Linked DNA regions of Caenorhabditis elegans. The protein of the gene in region 1 purifies or fractionates together with the protein of each later gene. This does not show direct contact. Each region holds a gene or a part of one and is shown on either strand. Other genes may lie near its edges. The genes, in order: comp-1, C17H11.5 and B0228.9.

Region 1 (3,757 bases):
CCTTGTGGTGGCTCACTGTAAGACTTGAGAATTTCAGACTCGAGAATTTGCTCGAAGAGACGTCCCAAAGTGAAAACGCCGCTTTCCTTTGAAAGTTTACGAGTGAAGGCAACTTCTGGAGCATTCGAATCATAATCAACCATTGTCACAGTGTTATCCGATTTTCTGAAAAATTGTTTGGAATACTACGCAACTTTCAATTATATGACAAACCCTTCATAGAGCAATCCGCTAGCACCATTGAACACCAACTCATAGTTCATTGTTTTTTCATTTTTGTAGCCCAAAACATAAAAGTTATCCACTTTTGAAGCTCCATGATAGATATCAAAACGATGAAGCTCCGATAAGATACGGACAGCAGCAGAGCACAACTGAAAACGTCAAATTCAGTGGGTGTTTTATATTCAATAAATCACGACTATTCAAGAAATTCCTTCGAAATTAAAGATTTCAAGCCCCAGAAATTTGTCTTGACTTTTGAAGTATAACAACATAAGACTGTTTTTAAGAAGGTTCGAATTGTTATGTTTCGTCCTAATTCTGAAAAGTCAAACCTTGATTCTTTGTGCCAAATCCAAATGAGTATCAAAGTTCTTCAAGAAATCTTTCAATGAACATCCAACTTGATTTTCTTGATGCCTGTAATAAATTTATAATTTTCATCCTCTCATTAAATATCTCACTCATAAATCAATGTTGGTGGGTTGAGAATAGCTCCAATTGGAAGACGAATTGGAAGGTTTCTCGCTGCCAATGCTTTTCCCTCGACAAGATTCTGAACTTGATTTAATTTGGAAAATAGCTTTGAAAAGTTTTCAACAAACCTCATAGAACACTTTGAGGTCTGAAATAGTCGGGTTATGAAGTTCTTCGAACAATGCTTTCTTGATCTTTCCATCCGCAAACTTCATTTCTCCAGTATAAACCTTTAAATTAATGAAATTGAGAAAGCCGAGTTACCTGTCTCTCTAAAAAAATTGTCAAACTTTCAACTGTTTTTTTAAATTCGAGTCATATTCGAGTTTTCGATTTTCTCACCAAATGAAAGAAATCCTGCGATTGAATTTTCTTATCTTTGATTCTTTTTCCTGTCTTGCAAATGTTGTGCACATTTGTCGAAGAAAGTCCAAGAAGACGGTTCATTGAAATGTTCTCATCCAGTACACCACCAAGAATGTCGGTCTGAAACAGACATATTAAAAAACGTTCAACGAGACAAAAAAAATTACAAAGTCATTCTTGAGATGATAGACCAATTGTTCAAGTGTCTGAGAACGGGCAAACAACATTCCTTGAATAGCGTATTCATTTCTGAAACTATATTTTCAGCTTTTGTTATTTTTAATGTATTCCATACTCAGAATGATCAATACGAAGATGAATGGCACGAGAAGTTTCCTTTTTCATCTTATTATTTCCAGGAACAATTGAAAGATAATAGGCACCATCCAGTGATTTCGACATACTGAAGTCGCCTAAAAAGTTTTTAAATCGTTTTAAAATATTACTTTATAGTCTCAAAAACAACGTTTTGCAAATTTAACTATTTTCCTCACGAACCTGGATTTTTGAGCACAAAAGCTTCAATGAAAGTGATGGGAACATTGTTAAAAATGGCATCCTTAATATCGTCATCATTTTCCATCGACTTCTCCGTCATCTCAAAATCGTGTTTCGATTCGACCAACGTCATTGCTTTGATTCGATAGATGATCCTTGAGATCAAAATAGTGTTTTGCCAAATGTATGGAATAAATTATTTTGGAGACTCTGGATAGATTAACCTATGGTTTTTAATAATTGGGAAAGTACAGTTCACGTGTAATTATAATTGTTTTCACAATGAGTCATACATTGAATCATTCAATGAAAATATTATTTACAACTGCGTTGCGTATCTGCGCAGATTTCAAAAGTTAGGAATATTATTCCGTGTAAGAAGAATAATTTTTGCATTCTTTATTTTAAAACTGCTATTTCCGTTATAATTTATGTTTATTCAGACGACCAGACAGTAAAAAATAAAAAATAAAAAAAGTATAGTACAGAGTTAAAGCATATATTACGTATCTCATGAGTGCTTTTAAATATTAATTTTTAACAGGAAATCAATTGGTTCGTTTTAACTGGAGGTGTATACAAAACTACAATATATATATATATAATTTATGAAACAAATTTACAATTAAAATACAGAATCCCTTTCCTTATTGCACTTCACATCATCTGAAATAAGAAACACACTTTTCTTTCAAATGCCAAAATAACATTTTCTAGTTTTCCTTTAGTCGCCCTCTCCCGTCAGTTTTTCTCGTTTTTTTCCAGTACGACACATAAAATTTATGAGTTTACAAGCTCCTAGCGGTGCTTTCAAAAAGTGGTCCCTCTTGTTGAAATTCCTTTAAAGTAACAAAAAAGTATAATTCTCAGAGAATTTTGGTTGTGCAAAGTCTTTTTGGAAAGCTAGGCGAGGAACTGGGATTATTGAATTGCTCGTCCATTGGCTCGTTTTCCGTGTGGTGTGGTGTCCTTATTGTTTTGTTCATTTTAAGAAAAAATAGAAAGATTTATCATTTGTAGGGTTATCGCCATTCGTTTTTATTCTTCTCTTTTTTCTCAATTTTTTGTTGTTGTTGGATACTTTGAATTGTCTCAAGGGAAAAATTCAAAAGATTCAAAGATTTGAAAAAATGTTGATGAAAGAGGCTATTCTCGGAATATATCTTCACATGAATGACTACTTTTTTCAGTTGAAACTTCAAAAAAATAATCCAAGTGATTTGGGTAGCTCACTGGAGTATTTATTATAAGCGTATCTAGGCAAAGTTCCTACTGGCACTACTCTACCTTAAATTTTTTTTTTATTTCTGTAGAAATTTCAAAAAATTGCCAGCTTGCCGACTCTGGCGAGAACTAAGTCGGTAAGGCTCGGCAGGTGTTTTTTTGCTGAGTACTAAAATTTTGACTCCTATCCATGTTTCGTTCAAACCAGTCCCTCTTTTTTGTTGCAATGTTTGTATTGGCTCCGTGAGCACTAATTTCCTTTTTTTTAGTTTCAAATAAATCCAAAGGAGAGACAAACAACTATTTTCTAACCAAATTTCCCTTTTTTGCGTCTTTTTTGCATTCTCAAAGTGTCAATCCTATAAGATAAACGAGCAAACTTACATATTTCTATGACGTAACTTCTATCATATTTTTTATTTTTAGATAAATTATTCAACTTCCTAACTTCATCAAGAATGTTCTGGAACACATATTTGTAAAATCTCTTTTTGTTATTGTTTCCAAGTTGGTTTCCAAGAGCATTTGATAATATTTAATCACTTCTAATTTATGATTTGTAAACTTTGATCAAGATGTTTTTAGTTTTCCAAAAAAAAAAGTATTTTCTCAAATAACACACATAGCAAATTTCGTCTAGGATGTGCAAGTGCCAATAACACAAGTTAAATGTGTAAATCTACAATTTTATGGTATGACTTTTATGGTAACTGAGCAGATGACATGGTCCAATCAAGGCCGCCTCTTTATTCGCCCTCCTCGTTCCCGCTAAATACCTTGTGCCTACGTCACGTCTCTGTAAAATGCAAAGCTAAAGTTTGAGCAATTATTTTTATTGTTAATTTGAAAATAATTTTATCTTTAATATGATCCTATCTGGGAAGACTTTATTAATTCAGAAACCAGTGTATGGGCTTGATTAGGTTATCCCATACATTTAAGAAAAATGAAAAAAAAAACATTAAACATT
Region 2 (3,757 bases), on another chromosome or scaffold:
TTGTTCCGCCATTCTGTTCTATTTTAACAAAATTATGTTAAATTGAAATTTTTTATTCTTGTGAGCTACATAAAATCGCAATGCCGCAGTTGAGTTCGCGTAACAAACTTGAAATGAGAATGCATTGAAAAATATATATAAAGTGTACCAAATCTAATTATTTACCCAACCCCTTCAAATTTTGAAGAGCGCGACGACGATGGGCTTCTTTTCACCGAAGAAGGTGCTGCGTTGCTGATCAATTCACCACCTGCAATGCGCAGCTCTGGAAGTGTGAATATCGATCCCATCGATTTATTCAAAATTCGTAGCTGGCTTGATAATATGAAGCAAATGGTAGCCACTGACGCACCTCAAGAGACACCTTATGAGTGAGTTGCGAAAATTTGAATGTTAAATGTTGTAGGAGGAAGTTTTCGAGAATAAGATGTTTGTGAAAAAAGTGTTATACTGAAATATGAAGTATTATAATCACAAATTTCGATCATTTCAAGCAACAGTTTTTTTAAAACGAATTTTAGCTATTGATTTTTTTGGATTTTAAACAAAAATATCAGAAATTCAGTAGATTTTATGTTGAAATGTGCAAAAAAACCTACAGGCGGAGTGTAATATTGATTTTTTAATGCGATCACTGTAAATGAATTTTGGAAAGGTAATATTTTTAAAAAACGTTTTTCGATTTAATTTGCAGTACTTTTCTTGTACATCATCTTCAAAATACATTTAGTGAAAGCAAGAGCAAAGGTGAAAATAAGTAAAAATGTTTAACTTGAACATTTTTTTCTCCGCTATTGCATTCTTTAGTCTAAAATTATTTGAAAGTGTTTCTAGACCTTCAACGCGACCAAGTAGCAAGCTCCGAAGATCAGGAAGCGGGAAGAGTGTGCATACAGTAGCCACGTTCCCAGTCAACCTCAACACCGGTAACACGGTGAACAGGCAGGGACTCTCGAATTTGTCGAAACCAGAAATTGTTCAAAATATGAGCAACGCTCCTTCGGAGGCTGGAATTACTGTCGCCGCGCCACGTAGCCCGACAGAACTTGAGGCGAACGGTGAGAATGCTGGCGATGACAGTGTGTCGACAAGTTCTTCATCCAGAAGTCAGAAAAAAAAGAAGCGACGTTTTGGAATATTCAGTAATTGGTTCAACAAAACGAAATAATAACATCGCGTTCTTTTTTTTCATTCTGTATAAAAAACATCACTCTATGTCATTTATGTTCCTTCCAGTTGTCTCAACGTGCTTCAACTAGTCATTTCTTCTCATAACCCTGCAATTTTCTCCCTTTCCCCATCTTTTCCATCTTTTCCATTCCAAATTTTCTCCTTATTGTCCAATAACAAAAACATCAACAACAACTCTATGCGGTATTTTTTTCGTACAGTACTTTTTCTCCCTCTTTACTGCTAGCCACGACGTGTGTTTATGTTGTGATTGCCAAAAAGTGTTTCAAAGTCAATCTCGTCAATTTCTCATGTTAACCTGTTTACACTTGTTTCAATTTTTCTTGTCTGACAGTATTGGAATCCAAATTCAAATACAAGTCATCATCTCTTCATTACATTCATTTTTTAATGTTCTCTATATTTTTTTGTAAAATATATTGATTTTAATTGAAAACTTAATTTTGTTTAGTTCTCTCTTAACAATGTTACAAGGTTTTCAGACTGTATAGGCAACGATGACTGGATTTGTTAAACTACTGACCGAAAAAGCAAAAATAGCTATGAGACATCTAAAAGAGTGCGATTTAGATGCACCATGCTGTAAGTTTTAGTATTCATGAACAAAAGTGGTTTTTCTGCATTCAAAACTATTTTTCAAAAAACGAAATCAATTATAATTCCAAAAAAAAAACAGTAAATGAAACATTCTACCTTTTTCAAAATGTTTTTTTTCATAATTTTTATTGGAAATTTCAATATTTTTGTACAAAGCAAACGTTATTTGTAAACACTTGAATAATGATCGCAATCGTTTGAAATTTATGGGCTTATTCAAGTAATGTAGCAAAATGTATTTAAATACATTTGTGACGTCACAAATGTATTTAAATACATGTTTTTATATACTTGAATACAGTTGTGACGTAATTTTTCTACACTTTTTAATTTTCCGACATTACTTGAATAACCCCATTAGAAGGAATGAAAATACTTGAAAAAATTCTTTCACGAGGTCAGTCCATTTTTTCCAAGTTTCAATAAAAAATGATGTTTTCTCATCCAAAAATAAATAATTTATCTACATTACATTTGAAAGACTGTAAAAAAATTCGAGGAAGTTCAAGAAAATTTGACCGAAAAACGCAAAAAAGCCCACATGGGAGGAATTTTATTTATTCATTTATTTATTCATATTTATCCTTATGATGAGTTTTTTGTTCATTTTCTATGTAACGGTTAGAAAATTGAAACATAAATTTAAATCGGCGGCAACGATATAACGCACTGAATTGGCCATCAATGAAAATTACACATTTTTACTGTTTTGTGTCTTCGCGTCGATCAGGATTCAGCGCGTAGTATCGTTGCCGCCAATTTAAATTTATTTTTCAATTTTTCAACCGTAGACTTAAAAAACAAACCAAAAAATGGGCGGAAATAGCCAACCGTCACGAAGTTCTAAAATAGGCCCCACCCCATGCGGGCTTTTTTCCGTTTATCAGTCAAGTTTTCTCGTACTTCCTCGAATTATTTAACTTCCCCTCATATTCTTTCTAATATGGCCGAAAACTAAAATTTAAGACAAATAACCTTCAATTGATAGGCTTCCTTTAGATACAAAATAAGTGCAATATAAGAACAATATAATTTGTTTTTCAAAAGAGCCGAAATAGTATGTCGCAAAGAGGTTTAACGGAAAACAATGTTTTGTTGGCAGAGTTTTGAGATCAAAAAGTGGAAAAAAACTGATAAAATAAAACAAAAGTTTCCTTGACCTAATAAAAAAGTTAAAAAATTTTTTGAAGTTCAATGAAGTTTAGAACAAAAGTCAATTTTAAGTTTTTATTGAGTCTACCTAAAAATTTTCGACATTTTTAGGTCGGTCCAAATTTTTTAAAGAAAAATCTCTCAATTCGAAACCTAGAGGAATTTGAAACATCAGATATATGAGATTTCTCTGTATGCTAGTATTTGTGATATTAGAAAAATACATTTGAAATACTTTCTTTAATACATAGTTTTTCTGGTTCAGTCTGCAGTCACCATCCAGCCGAGACATACGTCTTTCCTGATCAGTACACTCTCAACAAACTGATGAACGGTGAAGCTCCGCCAGGTCCCATACCACGAAATAAATTGAACGACTGGGTTGGAGTTCCTCCGGTATGCCCGGAAAACGATGATGGTGCTATTATGTGAATTGCAATGCCGTATCGTTATTTCATATTCTTAGTTTTCAGAGAATTTTCGGTTGCAATGGAAACCTGTAGATATGATTACATGACCATCAAGTATTGGCTCGACTACCAGAGGTCACCTAACATTTTGAACTATTGTTTTCTGAACTCTAGTTCATTTTCAGAATTTCCATTGCCGCAATGAAAGTGTACGATAGAATGAAACGAGAAAAATATAATCGACCATGTAACGTAGTAATACGGTTCATTTGCCGGGCTATCAGATTACTCTTTGGAATCGAGAACAAGAAGCGCTTTGATGGAGCTCCATTAATTCGAAAGGAAATCTAAACGATCATTTAAACACATTTCAACACATTACTGTGTTAGTTCTATAATTCAATGCT
Region 3 (3,757 bases), on another chromosome or scaffold:
CTACAAGCTACGCAATGTATCTTTTGATTTATCATTCACCAACTCAAATGAAGGATATGAAACGGTGTTTAATAAACTTGGCATTTTGGTAAGAAAATCTGAATACTTCAAACCAATTTAATTCCAAATCACAGGACAAGAGCTATGGATTTGATGTATTCGTTTCTATTAATTCCTTATTTTTTCATTCCAACTCTGGTAGTGCTTCCAGTTGGATTATTTAGTTTAATTGGGTTGAAAACAGAAATTCAACTGGTAGTGCTTGTGATAATCATAGCAGGTGAATTGAAAATTAAGTAAAATAGTTGCGGCATATTGCCGAAAAAAGCTAAAACTAAGTTTTGCCCGAGTTTTGACAATTTTTGATCTAAGATAATATTCTTGGGTCAAGTTTGGTGAAGAAACTATAGCGCCAAATTTCGAGATTTCTTTTCTATTTTTCATTTCCATTTTTCAGCAACAAGTGTGAAACAAGTAGAAAAATTGTTTCAAAAATTAAACTCCATGATCTATAACGTTAAGGACTTTTCAGGTCTTGGTTCGGCAGTTGTGATGATTTTTGAAAATCGTTTCAATGCTATGTGTCCACCATATTTTCGTTTTAAAATGAATAAAAGACGAGAATACCATTGCATAATGTTTGTTATAAGTTTTTCACTACTTATATCTTCATTTTTGAGACTTGAAGATCAGAATTCGGCTAAAAATTCTTACGTCAATGTAAGATCGCTCATTTTGTAAAGTATCATTCAAGAATTTTAGTACTTTCTCTGTCCAATTCCGGAGTTTTTCACAACTGCATTTTCCTTTAAGCCGGTTTCAAATACAATGTTAATTACTACAGTCTTACTATTTTCTCTAGTGATTCTTATTCAAGTTATATTTTTCACAGGATTTAGTTTTTATTTTTTATTTTCAATTGAAAGAAGTAAAATGTCTTCAGCAACGAGAAAACTTCAACTTAAATTCTTTTATACGACGTGGCTACAGGTGACACTTTTCATTTTCTTTTGTCAATAGAAACTAGACAATCAAAATTTATTTTCAGATGTTAACTCATCTTGCTGTTATAATATTACCAATGGGATATACATTCTTCTCATTTCTACTCCTTTATAGAAACCAAGGTAAGCAAAGCTTTCAGATACTTACTTACTTATGATCACACCTTTCCGAACTTCTGAATCCTTCGTTAGGGTAGACCATAGTTCTATGTCCCGTTTGGCTGCGTCATTTTTAATAATCTATTTTCCCGAAGAACCATTCTAATTGTAAGATGAGTCGTTGGATGAGAAGGACTAAATTTTCAGTTTTGGTAAATATTTCCACAATAATTATCAGTCTCCATGGATCGATAACATCAATTTCAACAATAGCAATCAACCGCCCTTTTCGTAACAGATTCAAGATGTGGTTATTCCCGAAGAGATTCAAAAAGCGGAGAAGTAGTACGAACCTCAATGTTTTGGCTGTTTCCTCAAGCTGGCTGTAATATTTATTCCATTTTTTTAATGTTCATTTGTAAAAATGCAATTCTTTTCCTTCAATTCATATTGCAAATCGAAATCTAAACCTATATTTTAAATTAAAAACTTTAATCGAATCAGGAGAGCTCCATAAAAGCTCCGTTTCAATTTCCCTGTCAGTTTAAAATGAATATTCTTATATTCACACTTTTAATTTTGCTATAACATTTGAATTCGATGATTATGACTTGGACTGGTTTGATCCAATTGATCAAAACAATACAAGATCCTTTATGCAAAGTGTCACACCTCCACCAACTCAGCAAGGGAAACCTGATCCAACAAATTCTGACATGATGATGAAACGATTTCAAGAGGATATGGTTGGCATTCTTGATGGAAGAAGTCGTGCACATTTTGATGATTTAGCTAACTATTTCCATTCAAAAATTCGAATATGTACTTGTTTTGAGCCTGGCCGAAGCTTATCCGTTCCAGAGTTTCAACATGTATTGACATTTATCTCTGGTTACTATCAACATTTAACTGTAAGAATAGTTTCAGATTTATATGGAATTATTGGTTTTACAGGAAGTTAGATCGGACAGATGGACAGATCATCCAAACTATATAAATGGAATTTTTACGTATACAGCAATGGGTTCAGACAGGAAAAACTCAGATGGGAAGTGGACCTACGAAGCTTCAATGGATTGGAATCAGAATAAATTTTTGATTGAATACATTTGGTTTCCTTACAATTGTTCTGTATTTCCTGTAAAAGATCCATCAGAGCCGTTGGAGGATGTTGATAACTATTTAGAACGAGTTCGAACAAAGTGAGCGTTCGTATTGAAAGTTCAAATTTTAAAGCTGAACATTTTTAGATTATCAAGCGGATTATTCTTACCTGATGGAGTTGATCAAACTTTGCAAAACTTTGAAGAATTTGGGGATTGGATAACAGATGATGCGATTATTGTAGTTTGTGATGAACAAAAAATGGATAAAAGTACGTTGTAGAGACAACGAAATAATTAAGTTCACTTTATTTTGCAGATGAGTTTATAAAATATATGAGTACTAGATATCATCATATTCGAAAATATTCGGTAAATTTTCAACTTTCAGTTTAATTTTCATTTAAGATTACTATTCAGAACAATCAATTTGATCATGTAAAAAATAATCAAGATTTTGAAATAACTTTCTCTACGACTTGGACAGCAGACAATACTACACAATTCCGGGACACATATATTTTCCGGGTTAAAAAGGTAAATTTATTAATGCTTTCCGACACTTTAATACATGAATTTTCAGGCAGAAGATTATTTCCCGGAAAATGATCGTTTGTACCTTCTATGGAAAATTTACTGGGTTACAAAGAGATGCACTGTAGATGTGACACAGTACCCTGCAGTTCTAGATGGATCTGTCATACTGGGAGAAGTGAATAAAAGATTTTGTGGAATGATTGATGGTGAAAATTGGGATGTGTATCAATCATTCTTGGACCTATTTGATCCAAATGATACTAAATGGGGCTCTTGTGTTGGAAAAAGAGAGCAGAAATATGGTTTGCTGACAACTGAAAGTTATTTTTAAATGCAAGAAATTCAGATAAAATCCGTGAATACATGAATAAAGTGGTTGCAAGGTATGCAAAATGTGTAGTCTCTGAAGTTAGAATTCGTAACCTCGTGCATGCTGATTTCTCAACAACGTTTCTTCTCAGTCGAGCAAATGAAATTCAGGAGCAAGAGGAGTTGGATGTGGGATTTGTTGGATACAAGAATAAAAATGGACATTGGAAAATTAATCGAATGTATTTTGAATGTGAAGAGAGCAAAAAGAGAAAGTTTATGGATAATCTTTTAAATGTTCGTCTTAAATGTTGACATAATTTTTTTTATTAATAAATGTTGGAATATATTCAGAGATTCCAAAAATTAATGAAGTAAAAAGAAGGCAGATTAAAAATTGGTTATCAAGTACTAAACATTTTTTCTGCGATTTTTGTTTTCATAAAATACATTGCTTAATTAGAAAATGTGTACTTTTAGAAAAACCTCAAAAGTTTTAGAACTGACGTATTCTAAAATCTCAAAATCAGTCTTTCAGTCATTTGAAAAATGCCTTTATTTCCGATATGAACTGTTTTATTCGTATAGTTTTGAGACGTCATATTTTTAAGTCTGACAAGCATCACAACATGAATAAATTAAATTAAATTAATCGGTTTTTCAAATTTTGTCATTGATATCAATGTATTCTTTATTCAGCAACAA

Evidence for each region.
Region 2: the proteins of comp-1 (region 1) and C17H11.5 fractionate together in Caenorhabditis elegans (co-fractionation; one large-scale study listed by BioGRID). This does not show direct contact.
Region 3: the proteins of comp-1 (region 1) and B0228.9 fractionate together in Caenorhabditis elegans (co-fractionation; one large-scale study listed by BioGRID). This does not show direct contact.

What each region holds. Positions count from the first base shown.
Region 1 is NC_003279.8:6,429,830-6,433,586, forward strand, and holds the start of comp-1 (Protein kinase domain-containing protein), read right to left. Parts: upstream 1,758-3,757; 5' UTR 1,697-1,757; coding exon 1,564-1,696; intron 1,479-1,563; coding exon 1,361-1,478; intron 1,315-1,360; coding exon 1,233-1,314; intron 1,186-1,232; coding exon 1,042-1,185; intron 930-1,041; coding exon 828-929; intron 779-827; coding exon 687-778; intron 643-686; coding exon 558-642; intron 375-557; coding exon 214-374; intron 166-213; coding exon 2-165; intron 1-1.
Region 2 is NC_003284.9:8,183,048-8,186,804, reverse strand, and holds the start of C17H11.5 (Phage protein), read left to right. Parts: upstream 1-1,671; 5' UTR 1,672-1,688; coding exon 1,689-1,773; intron 1,774-3,205; coding exon 3,206-3,368; intron 3,369-3,413; coding exon 3,414-3,485; intron 3,486-3,535; coding exon 3,536-3,701; 3' UTR 3,702-3,757. Other genes in the region: C17H11.6 (RBR-type E3 ubiquitin transferase), read left to right, coding at 188-371, 835-1,168.
Region 3 is NC_003280.10:7,761,672-7,765,428, reverse strand, and holds B0228.9 (uncharacterized protein), read left to right. Parts: upstream 1-1,759; coding exon 1,760-2,014; intron 2,015-2,057; coding exon 2,058-2,305; intron 2,306-2,353; coding exon 2,354-2,478; intron 2,479-2,525; coding exon 2,526-2,578; intron 2,579-2,626; coding exon 2,627-2,743; intron 2,744-2,789; coding exon 2,790-3,045; intron 3,046-3,089; coding exon 3,090-3,367; downstream 3,368-3,757. Other genes in the region: srh-39 (Serpentine Receptor, class H), read left to right, coding at 1-88, 135-280, 533-720, 763-990, 1,049-1,127, 1,311-1,492.